Bombyx mori: one gene and its partner. The protein of the gene in region 1 interacts with the protein of each later gene in a biochemical or structural test. Links are inferred from orthologs where the notes say so. Each region holds a gene or a part of one and is shown in the gene's direction. Other genes may lie near its edges.

Region 1 (7,956 bases):
ATGCTATTTTTTTTATCGTTTAGATGTGTGGACGAGCTCACAGCCCACCTGGTTGTTAAGTGGCTACTGGAGCCCATAAACATCTACAACCTAACCGCACCCTTCAAACCGAAACGCATTACTACTTCACGGCAGAAATAGGCGGGGTGGTGGTACCTACCCGTGCGGACTCACAAGAGGTCTTACCACCAGTAATTATGCAAATTATAATTTTGCGGGTTTGCTTTTTACTACACGATGTTCCTTCACCGTGGAAGTCAATCGTGAACATTTGTAAAGTACGTATTTCATTCGAAAAATTAGTACCCGCCAGCGGGATTCGAACGCCGTTGTATCGCTAGATACGAATGCATCGGACGTCTTATCCTTTAGGCCACGACGACTTTTTGTCAGGCTCATAGAGCCCAACTTTCAAAACGCTATACATTGACGGGTGAGCATTCTTTTTTATTTTGTTATAGCAGAGGCGGCTTACCCATGGTGCAGGGTGTGGGCGCAGCGTTGTTAGGGAATGCCGGCCTCCGTACTCTCAAAGAACCCCTTAAATTCTTACCTATTCCATATTAACCGCGCGCTTGCTTGAGGGCGCTAGGGTAATTATGGCACACGAATGCTACACGGACTAGAGACACCCTTAACTTCAGCGGGTCGCGATTCCAGTAGTAGATTCTGCGAATCACTGCTCTTACTAGGGTTACTAGGTAGGTACTTACTAGGTAGTGTTAGCAACCTCTCTCAGGTTGAGCCCGTGAGCTCACCTTACCCGTCCGGGCGTAATTGGAATAGCCCGCTGGGCTACCAGCGAATAGGTAGGGTAAAATATCACCTCTTTCCTACACTAAACCAAATTCTAGGTCTTACTAAGCCGCATCGCAAAGGAAGACGACCAAACCACAGTTGAAAGCAAAATTCGGAGCAACAAAAACATTGTCTCTTTTACAGCGAGGTACTTATCATTCAGTAAAAAAAAACTCCCGCACCGCGCCTAGTTGGAATAGCCCCGCAATAATTAAGCAGAAAAAAAAAACATTGAGATATGACAATTATTATCTCCCTTCTTGACCATACGTCGATATTTAGTTGGTGATCGCTTTGTTGGTACTGTGGATGATAGATAGAGGTACTATCTTATTTAAGGGACAAGTTGAAAAAGGGTCCGCCAGTACACAGCAAATTATTGTTGGAAGACTCACCGAAATAGCGCTAGTGTACGAAGTGGAAATGATATGAATATAGCAGTTTTAAACAGAGTAAAGTTTGCTGGGTTGAAATGAAGTGTGGTAGTTTAAGGCGCTGTTTTTAAAATCCTTCCACTTGCTACTGTGGCGCACCGCAATTGGCTCCTTTTCAGCGGACACTTTTTAATACACTGAGATGGTTCTCTTTACTTCTAACCTTTTCATTTCTAAACTTTAAAAAAAAAACCTTACTCTCTATCGATTTGCGATGGTGTCTTCGGTATTTCTTCCGGCTCTGGCGGTTCTTCCTTTCCCTTTTTCTTATCGTCCTTCTTTCTGTCGACTGGTGGAGGAGCGTCTCCACCTGCTGGCGCCCTGGTGGGAGGTGAATTTAAAAATAAGAAGTTTTAAGTATCCTGTTTTCGTAGATGTTTGCCAGTATTTGAGGTTTTTTGTTGGACTAGAATGATGGAAGAGCTCACGGCCCATTGTTAAATGACCAGAGCTTATAGAACAAGATGAATGCCATCTTGGAACCTTGAAACCCAAAGTCAAAATCTGAGTTGCATTGTTTAAACAAATTTTGTAACAACAAAATGGTCGCTTCGCTTCGCTGCCGAAATACGGTGGATTTGGTACCTAACCACGTGCACATACATGGACAAGAAGCTTCTACCAGTAGTAATTGTACAAATGTGTAAATTTTGCGAGCTCTATTTTGTTTCATTTATCGGCTACATAACACTTCACCGTGTGCTATTCCGTTTTAAAAAAAACAAAATTGGAAAAAATTAACCAAGTGCCAACTACCGGTCCCTTGAGTTGACTACTTAAATATTTTGTAACTTACTGAGATTTTTTATTGGACATTTTCGTAAAAATCACGACTTTTTCAAGAGCATACGTAAATTTGTAATTATCTTGATATTCCTTGTTTTTTGTGATTAAACAACGTTTTTGCGATTTTTTTGTCACTTTTTATTTATTTTTTTATGAAACTACCACATTTCGTATACCATGGCCGATTTGAATGGCTTTGAAGTTTCAAAACATATGTCACTTTTCGAACTAAGTTTTTTTTTTATTCAAGCCAGTTTGTTAAATATTTGTCTCATTTCCATTTATTTTATTTCGAATGAGAGATCGAAATACCGAAAAGCTTAGGGTAAGTATTCCAAGACAACAAAAGCAAAAAAAAATGAAAATAGAATTATGTATTACAATCAAACAATATTTTAAATATTATAGATTTTTTAATGTAACCTAAGAAACTCATGGTTCGGGTTTTAAAATTCCCGCTTAAATTAGTTACCTTCAGTGAAGTCATATGACTTCAAGGCATAGAGTTACTGTTGTAGGTACTTATTAACTCCATGCTTCAAGGTCAACGAAATAATCTTAGAAATATTTTTTGTCTCTTTTTGTCTTATAGTCATTACGTATGATAGAAAGACAACAAACAAATGAATGAGTCAAACGTTTTGCTTTTGCAATGTCTATTGGAAATGCACCGTTTTATCGAAATTTAATCATCGATATTCATTAATTTTATTTTCATGTATAGAGTAAAATACATATTTTTTTATTAAAATTGTATTTCATTTCTACTGGTCAGCGAAGATTTTGTAGTAAATTCACTTAAAATCGATCTGTTTCTTAGTGCCGAAACCTTTTCAAAACGCCTTTATTGTCTTTTCACAGGGAAAAAACCCATTCATTAGCTATAGTTCATAAGTGTATAATCTATGAGCTAGTTCGATCACTCAAAATTCATGCTCATTTCAACCTTTGAAATTTCTATTGTCAAATTTGTCACTCAACGTGAAAATTTTTCTGAACCAATTTTCTATTGAATTTATTTTAATTATTACCGATTAAACATGTCTGACAATAAGAACGCATCCAAAAACGATCAAGATCCTGAATTAGACGATTTATTGAACAGTAAGTTGTTAAATCTTGATTACATTTCATCGTGTTGATTTTCCATTACACAATAACCTACGGTCTAAGTGCATGCTAATTTTGTTTGTTTTCTCTGTTAATGTCTTCTTTGTCAGTTATCAACATCTTTAATATTTCTTTATTCTATTTAAGTAATCGCGTATGAAAGTTTTTAATTTTAAAATGTAAAACTGACGATAAATCCTCAAACTCAAAAAAAAAGGTTCCGTATTTTTTCTTATTGCGTTTAGCAATGTTGATTAGACGTAATCAAGATAAAATAATGTTGAGCATAATTAATTAACACTATCATTAGTTTTCATTTATTCATCAAATGACAATTTTTTTGTTAAATTTTATTAATAGCTAGCTTATTGCTGTTTTGTACTGCTTAAGATGAGTACACTTGATTACTGGACCTCATGGTCATTGCACGCTGCTCTCACTTTACTATCTTCTCTTCATCCTCTAAAATTAGGAAATATCATGATTCATGATATTTCCTAATTTGATAATGATGATCATCATCCGCATGGGTAGGTATCACCACCCCGCCTATATCTGCCATGAAGGGCCAGGTGGCCAGGTGGGCTGTGAGCTTGTCCACCCGCTAAGCAATGAAAAAAAAACCTAACCTACCACTCTATCAAACTGTCTTCCGCTTGCCTTCAACCCATGTAATGGAGACTGGCACATATCCTCCTATCATGCTGCATAGGATTTTGGTGTGAGTTTTACAACACCGGCCTGTTGTCAACTCTATGGGTTATTTACTCAAGTGACATATCTATTGTGGCATGCCATAGGGAGGAGTTGTTCTTCTGTCAGTGTATCTTTTACCTGATTCATTTTTGGTTATACTCTTAACATTTAAATTTTTATTTTAAAAATTAGATTTACATATATCTAAAAGATAAAACTGCTACATATTATTAGTTTTTCGGTATTTTCATAATCTAGAAAATATAACTAACAAAATATCACTCTAACCAACCTGGCCTCAATAGATTAATAGTCACAGAAAGTCATACTAAAAAACTGTCACTCAGGGTGTAAATTTATTCCAGGTGCACTTCAGGATATGACAAAGAAGAAAGATGATAAGCCAAACGATACCACTCCTGATGGTGGCGAAGCAATGCAGAACATGTGGGGCGAGGAATTTATCAAAGAAGCAGCTGCTCAGTTTGAGAGCAACATGGCAGCTATCCTAGGCAGTTTCAGTGGAGTGCCAGGTACGTCAATTAGTGCGCCAGGTTCCATCTAGCTTCAAGTGGCTAGTGGACTTCATATCAGTGTTTCCACTTTAATGATTTTCTTTCCCCACACCTCAATTCAAATTTCCCCTTCTCAGGGCTTTTTCTCCTCAAAAATGTTTCTGCTGTAGTTTTTACTTTTGGCCCTAGTGTAGTAACTAAAAAAAGGTCTTTATCGATTTTAGATTTTACCCATGATTTCCCGCAATTTCCCCTTTTGATGTCTTCTCTTTTTCTCCTCCTATGGACCCTAATTTCCCCTCAAATGGGGAATGTCCCCTCGTTGTGGAAACACTGCTTCATATATGTAGCGTGCAACATTCGGTCGCACTCGGGCGTCATCGGACGCGATCGGAGCTCCTGAACGCGCAGGTGTCCCGTGACGTCATGCAGCAAGATTCGCGCGCGCGTCGATTTAAGTTGAATGTAAAAACGTAATTTTAATTTTAATTCGTATCTTCCAGTGCCTAGCGTTGCTTACTTTACTTTTGGTTTATGTTTTAATATTGTACACATTAAGTATAATAATATGTATTGTTGAAATGGAGTGTTTGTCTTTTGTATATTCGGAATGAAAATATCCCGTGAATACGAACAACAAATAATAAACCACATACACAATTTTTACTGGTGGTAGGACCTCTTGTGAGTCCGCGCGGGTAGGTACCACCGCCCTGCCTATTTCTGCCGTGAAGCAGTAATGCGTTTCGGTTTGAAGGGTAGGGCAGCCGTTATAACTATACTTGAGACCTTAGAACTTATATCTCAAGGTGGGTGGCGCATTTTACGTTGTAGATGTCTATGGGCTCCAGTAACCACTTAACACCAGGTGGGCTGTGAGTTCGTCCACCCATCTAAGCAATAAAAAAAAACAATAATTTCAACCACTCACATTGAGACATCTTCCAAGCCTCAGTTGTAATGGCTGATCCACCCTTGAGAGATCCCTTGCCACAGAAATTTGTCAGCAGAATGGCTTAGGTTTATGTAGGATGGATAATGCCTATCTTAAAAAAAAAGTGAATAGAATTTGGGAGGAAAAAGGTCGTTAAGTTGAGGATTTCATGAAAGGAATGTTGTAGCTGAAGCCAAACAAGGCAAACAAGTACCTAATTAATCAATCAGATTATTATCAACATTAAATCTGCGGCTTATTTTGACACACTTTAATTGGCATACCATAGTATGTATATGATATATTTTTTATGTGATATTCACCGATTTTAAAGTATCCAATTTAATTAAAACATCACACACTTATCAAGGACCAATGATAATACAATCTGTACTAATATTATCAAGCTGAAGAGTTTGTTTGTTTGAACGCGTTAATCTCAGGAACTACTGGTCTGATTTGAAAAAATCTTTCAGTGTTACATAACGCATTTATTGAGGAAGGTTATAGGCTACATAACATCACGGTAAGGCCGATACAAGTGGAGCACCAATAAAGAATGTTTCAAAATAGGGGCTTATAGCTCCTTAACATTCTATAATTCAAAAATATTTTCACTTTCTACGTAAATGAAGTGGGGGTAAAATTTAGTGATATGCCAAAGTAACTATTCCACGCGAACGGAGTCGCGTGCAAAAGCTAGTAATTTAATAAAATTGTCTTATTACAATGATTGGGATCTTCAGGGTTAAAATGCAGTAGTGTCTTGTGCCGTGTATTACTTACTATACATATATGAAGAAAAACCTTTCTTATTTAAAACTCTATAGTTTTTAAAAATGAGTTTTCTTCATTGACATCCATTGTTATGGAGTGAAGTCTGTGATTAAGTAAAAAGGGAGGACTTAAAAATTTTGTATAGCTTATTAATACTGTTTAATTTTTAATATTGATTTTAAAAGAGATCAAGACTTTTAAATGCTCTTATCTTATTATACATATAACAGAACACGCAATTAAGTCTTTTATCTATTTACTGGTGGTAGGACCTCTTGTGAGTCCGCACGGGTAGGTATCACCACCCTATCTTGAGATGTAAGTTCTAAGGTCTCGAGTATAGTTATAACGGCTGCCCCACCCTTCAAACCGAAACGCATTACTGCTTCACGGCAGAAATAGGCAGGGTGGTGGTACCTACCCGTGCGGACTCACAAGAGGTCATACCACCAGTAATTACGCAAATTATAATTTTGCGGGTTTGATTTTTATTACACGATGTTATGCCTTAACCGTGGAAGTCAATTGTGAACATTTGTTGAGTACGTATTTCATTAGAAAAATTGCTACCCGCCTGGAATTCGAACACCGGTGTATCGCTCAACACGAATGCACCGGACGTCTTATCCTTTAGGCCACGACGACTTCAAACTTCACTCTGAAGTACTCGATATCATTATATACATATCGAAGGAAGAAAGCGGAATTGTTGTAACTTGAAAAGACCAATTTTGTACTAGAGCCATATGTGTTATATGATAAGGTACAAAGTCGTTTAGCCCAAAATGCAAGTGACGACATTTCCCTTTCTCCCGCCGATATGCACTTGCTCACCTCCTGGGATATGATAACCATTTCTCAGTCCCCTCTAGAATCGAACTCTTAATTCCCCATAAAGCCCCTATAGTTACAGAGCCCATAATCAGATAGAAGAACAACCAAGTTCTCTTCAAGCTTAAAGCTGACAGAAAGAGTTCCATATAATGTTCATGCATTGGACGAAATAGTTGTATAGTCTTGTATTTATCGAATGTCAATCTTTCGTTTTCAGAGGATCAGATAACACAAGAACAAATTGCATTAACTTTCAACAAAATGGCTGGTGAGTACACCATTTTAATACCAATAATTAGTCTCAAATGTAATGGAAGTAAACAAGCTCTTCAACATGAATACAGGTGCTTATAGTCGGATTTTTTATTAGACGAAGTCAACTGACGTTTACTGTGTTGTCAGTTTTTGATGAAATAAAAATAGTGTTGTGACAAAGTGAACGATTGAAAAAACTCCTGAATTAATGAAATTGCCTCGATTGTCTAGTGAATAGTTGGTGTGCCGAATTGCCGATATCGGGTACGGGGTTCGAATTTTAGGCGTGCTTTGTACATACCAACGAGTTTTCGACGAAATATTATGTTCCTATAGTATCTACCTGTACTGAATACCGAGTGTTTTAAACATTAAGAAAAACATTGCGAGGAAGCTTGTAAGACTGTCCTATTTCCAATACATCATATAGTTGAAATTATAGACGTATAAAATATAACAATTATAGGTAGGTAATGAAAATAAAAAAACTGATTGTAGTTACATACTACTAGTAACATATATTGGAGCACTTTAATACAATTTTATTGTAAAATATAAATAATATTCTTTTATAGTTTGAAATTGATGATTAACTTTTCACACTCATTGTTCATTCATGTGATTGAACGAGAACTGAACGCATCACTATTACTTTAAATATAGCAACATTATTTCACAAAGTGACATTAGCTACTGTCAGCTGGCTTCGTCTAATTAAAAATTCGACTATAAGTAGATTTCCCTCGGCCCAATCAAATAATAATATATGTATGTGTTCACATAGTTAACTATATTACGACATCAGATGGTACATGCA
Region 2 (8,176 bases), on another chromosome or scaffold:
TGCGAAAAGACTAATCGGTCGCAAGTTTGATGATGCCAAGATACAACAAGACCTGAAACATTGGCCATTCAAAGTGATAAGTGATTGTGGAAAGCCCAAAATCCAGATAGAATTCAAAGGCGAAACAAAACGTTTTGCACCTGAGGAAATCAGCAGTATGGTGTTAATAAAAATGAGAGAGACCGCTGAAGCATATCTTGGAACAGCAATACGAGATGCAGTCATCACCGTTCCTGCTTATTTTAACGATTCACAGCGTCAGGCCACAAAAGACGCTGGAGCTATCGCTGGTCTGAATGTGCTTCGTATTATAAATGAACCGACAGCAGCAGCACTCGCTTATGGATTGGATAAAAATTTAAAAGGCGAACGAAACGTTCTTATTTTCGACCTCGGTGGTGGAACATTCGATGTTTCCATACTGACCATTGATGAAGGTTCATTATTTGAGGTAAAAGCCACTGCAGGCGATACTCATCTAGGCGGTGAAGATTTTGATAATAGATTGGTGAACCACCTAGCTGAAGAGTTTAAACGGAAATACAAGAGAGATATAACCAGCAATCCTCGCGCTCTTCGCCGGCTTCGGACTGCAGCTGAACGGGCGAAACGAACATTATCATCGAGCACGGAAGCTACCATTGAAATAGATGCTTTGTACGAAGGCATTGATTTCTACACTAGAGTATCTCGTGCACGTTTTGAAGAATTAAATGCTGATCTGTTCCGAGGAACACTGGAACCTGTCGAGAAAGCTCTGAAAGATGCGAAACTAGATAAAAGCTCTATTCACGACGTAGTTCTCGTTGGAGGATCGACACGCATTCCAAAAATACAGAGCATGTTACAAAACTTCTTCTGTGGAAAGAAACTAAATCTTTCAATCAATCCGGATGAAGCGGTAGCATACGGAGCTGCTGTACAAGCAGCAATTTTGAGTGGAGAGCAACACAGTAAAATTCAAGATGTTCTTTTGGTTGACGTCGCTCCCTTATCTTTGGGCATTGAAACTGCCGGTGGTGTAATGACAAAGATCATTGAACGCAACGCTAAAATTCCATGCAAGCAATCACAGACATTCACGACATATTCTGACAGCCAACCAGCAGTCACAATACAAGTGTACGAGGGCGAACGGGCCATGACCAAGGACAACAATATGTTGGGTCGCTTCGATCTAACTGGAATTCCACCTGCACCACGGGGGGTCCCAAAGATCGACGTGACATTCGATATCGACGCCAACGGGATCTTAAATGTCTCCGCTAAAGAAAACGGCACTGGCCGCAGTAAAAACATCGTTATTAAAAATGATAAGGGACGATTATCTCAAGCTGAAATCGACCGTATGGTAGCAGAAGCCGAACGCTATAAGGAAGAAGATGATCGACAAAGAGAAAGGGTAGCAGCACGCAATCAATTGGAAACTTACATTTTCAACGTTAAACAAGCCGTTGATGATGCCGGTGACAAACTGAGCGCACAAGACAAAGAGAGCGTAAGAAACGATTGCGAGGCCGCCCTGCGATGGTTGGACAATAACACGCTAGCTGAAAAAGATGAATTTCAGCAGAAACTAAAGGATCTTCAGCAAGTTTGTTCACCAGTCATGAGCAAGATCCACGCTACGGGTAGTCAACAGTATTCACAGCCCAATCGTTCAGGGCCAACGGTTGAAGAAGTTGATTAAATATTAAAATGACGAATGAAGTTCAGACTGATTTCAGTATTATATGCTTTAAGTTCCTAGTCAATGATTTAAGTTAATTGTAAATATTAGAATTTATGTTATGTTTTTAGTTTCAAACATTGTGTTCATGGACTGCAACAAAAAATAAATAGATTTTAACTTTTGAAGTTGTTTTTTATTGATAATTTTGTATATTAAAATAGTTCTAAATTGTACAATGAAAATAATTTATTTGCCACAAAACAGTTGTATATCAAAGGGTAGTTACATAGAGCCGAATGCAACTTTATACGATAGGTAAATTAAAGATAATAAACTAATCGTTTACTAAAAATCACATCCTCTCAAAATCAATAGACTTCCCTATTAAAAATCGAACTTAGTTTAAATGCCGTCTTGGGACAAATGAAAAATTACGCCATCTCTTAAATCGTACATAAATTGAATAAATAGAAGTAATGAGATTTTCTATTGCGAATGTAGACAGATAATATAAGGCCCCACTAATGGTGATTTTTTTTTTTTTAAATTGGAGTTTATGGCCTGGTATCTAGACCTTTAGGCCAACTAATGGTGAATGGTCACCGCCGCTCATGGACGTCAGCAACGCCAGGGACACAGCCAAGTTGCTGTTTATCTAACCAAGTGGCGGGAACGCAAGGAGTGAAGTTGTGTGAATTGTTTTATTTTGTCTATTTAGTGCTTCTTCAGGTTTAAATGTGTAATAACGGTGCTTTATTAACTGCTTAGAATCTGTGAAAGTGCATAATTGTGGGAAAATGAAACAAAGCCGCTGGACGTAACTTCTCGGGATCCTCCAAAAAGTACACTGATAATGTCTTAATAAATAACCATAATTTTACTGAGATTATATTTCATCACATATCATCTCATTTGTAAATTTAATTCGTTTTTAATCATTTATGTTATGTTGCGATTACTTTCCTTCGTTTTATTATTATTCATAAACTGTAATTAATTGAAACGGCGAATTTTAAATATTTTATTACTTGACACTGGCTAATGCACAAACTGTGCCGGAGCCAAAAAATAAAGTACAAGAAGCTAAGGTTGACATTAGGACTTAGGACATTATATATGGAGCATAGATTATACACATAATATATGATTTAGTTTATGTGCTAGATTGTTGCATAGTGCGTGTGTTGTCTTTCCATTTTCAAGAATAAAAGTTTAGTTAATGTTGTGCTGTGTGTTAATCAATGTATTTATTTAACTAATAATTATGGCACCGAATTTAAGTAAATTAACGCAACGGACAGACGTTAAAGTCGGTATTGCTGTCTCCGCAGCTCTTGGTGCTTGGATTATCCGGAACTCCTTTAAGTCAAGGTGAGTTTACTGGCCTCTTGAACAATTTTCCATTGCTTTAGTTGTTTATACTATACCTGAAACTCTGAGTCCCAATTAAGCGTGTAAAATTTTCAGATTTATATGTTGAATTTCCTTTTGACCAATTAAAACGTTTTGCGCTAATCATGATAAAGTTGGAATTTGACCTAGAAGTGAGATAAAAATTAAAACGTGGTAAAAAGACTAAGTTTACTAATATGTTTAAATCTATTAATATCTTATTATCACCCAAATAATTTTACAATAGTCATAATACAATAGAGTGGTCAGTACAATAACTTTACAATATAGATCTTTGTATTTTCTGAAATAATTCAATTCTTGAATATACATCTGGTCTAGAATCCGCATTACAGAGAGAATTTGAGTATATTTATGAGATGATACAGGAAAAATAAAAAATAAACCTTGGTTAGCAGTGTGCATTTAATTGTTATACTCTCTCTGTATCAGTTTTATTATATGATAGAATTATTATAGGTAATTGATTTTTCCCCTGCTTAATCACTGGTATGAGCCTATGAGGAGCCTATGAGGCTATTCCAGTTACACTCTGAGCAAGTGAGTTGACAGAGTCAACCTCAAAGAATAGCTAACATTAGCCTTAACAAGAGCAATGCTTCACAGTGTTTTTACTGATGGTAGGAAATCTTGTTAGACTGCACAGGTAGGTATCACCACCCTTCCTATTTCTGCTGTGAAGCAGTAATGCATTTCAGTTTGAAGGGTGGTGCAGCTGTTGTACTGCAAAAACGACCTTATAACTCGTCTTAAGACTGGTGCAGCATTGACATTGTAGATGTCTATGAACTCTGGTAACCACTTAACACCCAATGGGGTGCGAGCTTGTCCAATAAGCAATAAGAAAAAAGAAACTGAGAAACAACATCCTTTTATCTATAAATACCTCATTCACATAAAATAAAACAGGCATATGTTTGGAAATTATGTTAGGACTATTTGAATAAAAACAAGTACATTCTCACAGTTGTAGAATATTTAAGAGTTTATAATTCATATAAAGCATGCTTGGAAACAAAACTTAACTGACTTATTAACTTAATAAATATTTTTTAGAAAATCAAGATATGACAAACCCGGCCGTCTTTCACCCGAAGAGCAGATTCAGTACATGATCAAAGAAAAAGACAAAAAGGGGCCAAAAGCACAAGTTGATGCTAGATTTTTAGCAGAATTTAAAACACTATGGAAGATTATGATGCCAGGCTGGTGGACCAAAGAAAGTGCCTTCATGTCGTTGATAGCCATCTCTCTAATATCCAGATCCATGTGTGATCTGTGGCTAATACAGCAGACTACTTTGATTGAAGGGTGAGTTGAAACTATAGTCTTATTAATTATTATGAATTAAATCATTTTAAAATAAACACTGAATATGACTAGCATTTTTGACAAACTTCCTTTACAACTAAGTACAGTGCAACCTTAATATAACAAACCTGAATATAATAATGTCCTCGATTTAACAAATTTTTCTTAACCCGCTGAATTGTCCATAAGAGTTGATGTAAAATATACCTTCACATTGCGAAGATTTCTTGCGAACAACCTCTTTATTCAACTAAATTTTCAAAGATTTTCAACTATAAAAAAAAGATGTAAATACCTCTAATTAATGAATTTTGTCAACCCAAAAACTTTATATAACGGTCCCACCAATATGACCCTAAATCCCATAGTACTATGTCAATCAGTCTCATTGCGTTTGAGAAAAATTGTTACCTACCTAATTGTTTTGAAATATAAAATATATATAGTAATTTCATAAAAATGTGTTTTCATTTATTAGTAGAAGTTGTTTGCTATAACAAGATGAGTTTAATGATGAGGTGAATAAAAAATTTTTTTTACTTACCTCGTTATAACAAATGGTAGACCAACCTAACCCTAATCAAACAAACCTCAGTTTACCAAATTACTTGATATAACGAGTATTCACTTGTTCCCTTCCGATTTGTTATGTATTGTATTGTTAGGTTGCACTGTATTTATAATTTTAATTCCAATAAGGCAGTTCATCCACTCTAGATTCCTAGAATTAATTTTAAATAAAAATCTAGTTTTATCACGATTTGTTGTACTTTGGTGATAATTACTGCTTTATATTAGTATGCATTATACTGAGACTTTAAACTGTATAGTTGAAGTAAATACAACAAAAAATAATGTAAATTAACTTGAAAACCCTGTAAAACAAAGAATTTTAATTATTGTTGCTTTTGTTGACTGGTTTAAATTATTTTCAAGTATTTAATGTACTTTGACCTTCTTGGTGCTTAATGGTTAGTGTGTATATTTAAAAAGAGATTTGATTCCTTTTCACATAAATAATTCATGAGTCATGACTAGTTTATGGAAATGCATGCAAAACTCTTGGTTTATTTTAAAATAAATTATAACTTCAAGGATATCTATTTTATATGTCAGCTACATTAAATACTAAATATCAGCATATATTATATATCAAATGCTGTTTGAAAATAAACCCAATGGTCAGCAGAATGTTGACTGAGCCCTTAGCATGACCTGGAAGCGGAGGCGCTCGCTGCGGATTACGCGTGGCCATGCGGCCTCCGCTCCAGAGGGGAGACGCGGCCCGGCATCGCAGAAGTTCAAGCGCAGAAGCTGTAATCTCGTGCCGTGCTCGAGGCGTAGTCTCGCTGTTGGCGGACCCTGCCTACGGGCGACGGCCCTCGAGGCGATCCGCCCTGTCCTCTCGGACTGGGTGACCAAGGAAGTCTCACCTTCCGAGCGACGCAGATTCTTACGGGACACGTCTGTTTCGGTCGCTACCCGCACCTCGTCGCCCGGAGGGAGCCGACGCCAAAGTGCTGCAGTGGCTGTAACGAGGTCACGGTGGCGCACACGCTCGCGTACTACCCTGTTTTCGCGGAGCAGCGCCGCGTCCTCGTTGCAAAAATAGGACCGGACTTGTCGCTTCCGAACGTCGTGGCTACAATGCTCGGCAGCGATGAGTCCTGGCAGGCGATGCTCGACTTCTGCGAGTTCACCATCTCGCAGAAGGAGGCGGCGGAACCAGGGAGGGAGAGCTCTTCTTCTTTCTCGGCGCCGTGCCCCCGCCGCCGAGCCGGAGGTCGGAGGAGGACGTTCGTCCAGTTCTGACCCCTGTGAGGAAGCAGTGTCCTCCAGGTGATGGTCACGGGGCGACTGAGGGGTTGAGGCTGCGCCGCACGCTACCATCACTCTAGCGCGCTGGCACCAGGAGTATGGGACGACAATAATGGCAATAAGCATGGCAATAAAAATATGTTTAGTAAATTCTTTTATGCTAACCCTATTGTCATGAAATTTTGTAAAATCACAAAAAATATCCTTTTTGGTAATTTTAGTGTTTCACAATTTTAATACTTACAGATAGAAAATAAATTATTCATTGTACAGGTCAATTATCACAATGAACCACAAGGAGTTCAAGAGGCTGTTAATCCAGTTCTTCGGATCAATGCCACTGGTAAGCAATTTTTTCTATTAAAATAATAACCGGGAACAAGTCACACACAGTCGTCTAGGCCCAAACTAGGACTCCTTATGGGAATCAGAGACTGATATACCTACGCATGTATACTGTACTGTTAGGGTTGAATCACACCGGAATGGCAGCGACGGACATAAAGGACGGAGTCTTGAATACAATCGATAGACTGTACCAAATAGTCAAAACTTTGGATAAAGAATTGGAAAATCAAAAAAGAGGAAAGAAAGAGGAGGAGAAAGGAGTAGGGACGGGTGAGACGGGCTCTTTACACCCCCTGACCCCTCCCATCCCCTCCCCGACACACTGCCATGAACTGACTAAAAGGATGGAAGAACATACAAGACTAGTCAAAGAAAATAACGAAAAAATGGAAGAATTAAAAGGAATGTTGACTGAACATAAGAAAACGCTGGAAGGGGCAACATACGCGAGTGTAGCGGCGGGCCCAAAAAAGGGAAACATTGAAGAAATGAAAACGTTGCACTCGGTCATAGTCACCTCCAGTGACGAACAAGAGTCAGGGGAGGAAGTCTTAAACAAAATAAGGGAAGTCATAAACGCCAAAGAGGGGGGAGTGATGATAGATAGAGTTCGGAAAGCCAGGGACCGGAAAGTGATTATAGGATGTAGGAGTGAAGCGGACAGGAAGAAAGTAAAAGATAGGCTGGACAAAGCGGGAGGGTTATTACAAGCGGAAGAAATTAAAAACAAGGATCCGCTGGTTATTCTGAAGGACGTCCTTGCTTACAACACAGAAGAAGAGGTGGTGGGGGCGCTGAGGAAGCAGAACCAGAAGATCTTTGAGGGGCTGACAGAAGATGAGGACAGGATGGTAGTAAAATATAAAAGAAAATCAAGGAACGCCATCACAAACCATATAGTCCTAAAAGTCTCCCCGAGGCTGTGGGGCAGGCTTGTGGAGAAAGGAACGGTCCAGATTGACATGCAGAGGATTCATGTGTCGGACAAATCTCCACTGGTTCAGTGCTCCCAGTGTCTGGGGTACGGTCACACCAGACGCTTCTGCAGGGAAGAGAAAGAGACATGCAGCCATTGTGCAGGTCCACACAAGAAGACCGAGTGCCCGGAGTGGTGTGCCGGTGCAGCCCCTACATGTAGAAACTGCGCATCCGCTAAGGTGGGAAACGCCGAGCACAACGCTTTTAGCGATGAGTGCCCAGTGCGACGGAAGTGGGATGCGCTAGCCAGAGCTGCGACGGCTTATTGCTGAGGGCGACCACAGTGGACAGCGTGGCACACCATCCCGCAGTCACAGTCGGTTGGGGATGCTCGGCTGCGGTGGCGTACCAACGTTTCAGATTGTGAGAGAAGATGGGGTGCTTAGCAGTGTGGTCCACGTCGCTTACTGCTCCGGTCACAACTGTATCATGCTTACTCTAACGAAGGAAGGGTCAAGAAACATGCCTAAGGCGAGCACAACCAGGAAATGTAACACCAGGGACGTGAATTGGCTACCTTTTATTGAAAAGGCAACCCAATTCAAGAGGGACAAAAATCTTGACACTCAAAGATTGGAAATGACAAACACGGAGGAAGAACGAACGAATACCATAAACGAGTATGATGCAGTTGTG

Evidence for each region.
Region 2: the proteins of peroxisomal biogenesis factor 19 (region 1) and ATP-binding cassette sub-family D member 3 form a complex in vitro, tested with the Homo sapiens proteins (4 studies listed by BioGRID and IntAct, with this or other methods). The link is inferred for Bombyx mori from reciprocal best matches to the Homo sapiens genes PEX19 and ABCD3.

What each region holds. Positions count from the first base shown.
Region 1 is NC_085129.1:20,647,834-20,655,789, forward strand, and holds the start of peroxisomal biogenesis factor 19, read left to right. Parts: upstream 1-2,884; 5' UTR 2,885-3,058; coding exon 3,059-3,122; intron 3,123-4,189; coding exon 4,190-4,357; intron 4,358-7,101; coding exon 7,102-7,152; intron 7,153-7,956. Other genes in the region: uncharacterized protein LOC101735788, read right to left, coding at 1,431-1,553, 2,029-2,048. UniProt on the Homo sapiens protein: Necessary for early peroxisomal biogenesis. Acts both as a cytosolic chaperone and as an import receptor for peroxisomal membrane proteins (PMPs).
Region 2 is NC_085128.1:3,706,560-3,714,735, reverse strand, and holds the start of ATP-binding cassette sub-family D member 3, read left to right. Parts: upstream 1-2,775; 5' UTR 2,776-2,936; coding exon 2,937-3,043; intron 3,044-3,099; exon of another isoform or gene 3,100-3,210; intron 3,211-4,141; coding exon 4,142-4,396; intron 4,397-4,524; exon of another isoform or gene 4,525-4,668; intron 4,669-4,940; exon of another isoform or gene 4,941-5,202; intron 5,203-6,487; coding exon 6,488-6,557; intron 6,558-8,176. Other genes in the region: heat shock protein 68, read left to right, coding at 1-1,690. UniProt on the Homo sapiens protein: Broad substrate specificity ATP-dependent transporter of the ATP-binding cassette (ABC) family that catalyzes the transport of long-chain fatty acids (LCFA)-CoA, dicarboxylic acids-CoA, long-branched-chain fatty acids-CoA and bile acids from the cytosol to the peroxisome lumen for beta-oxydation.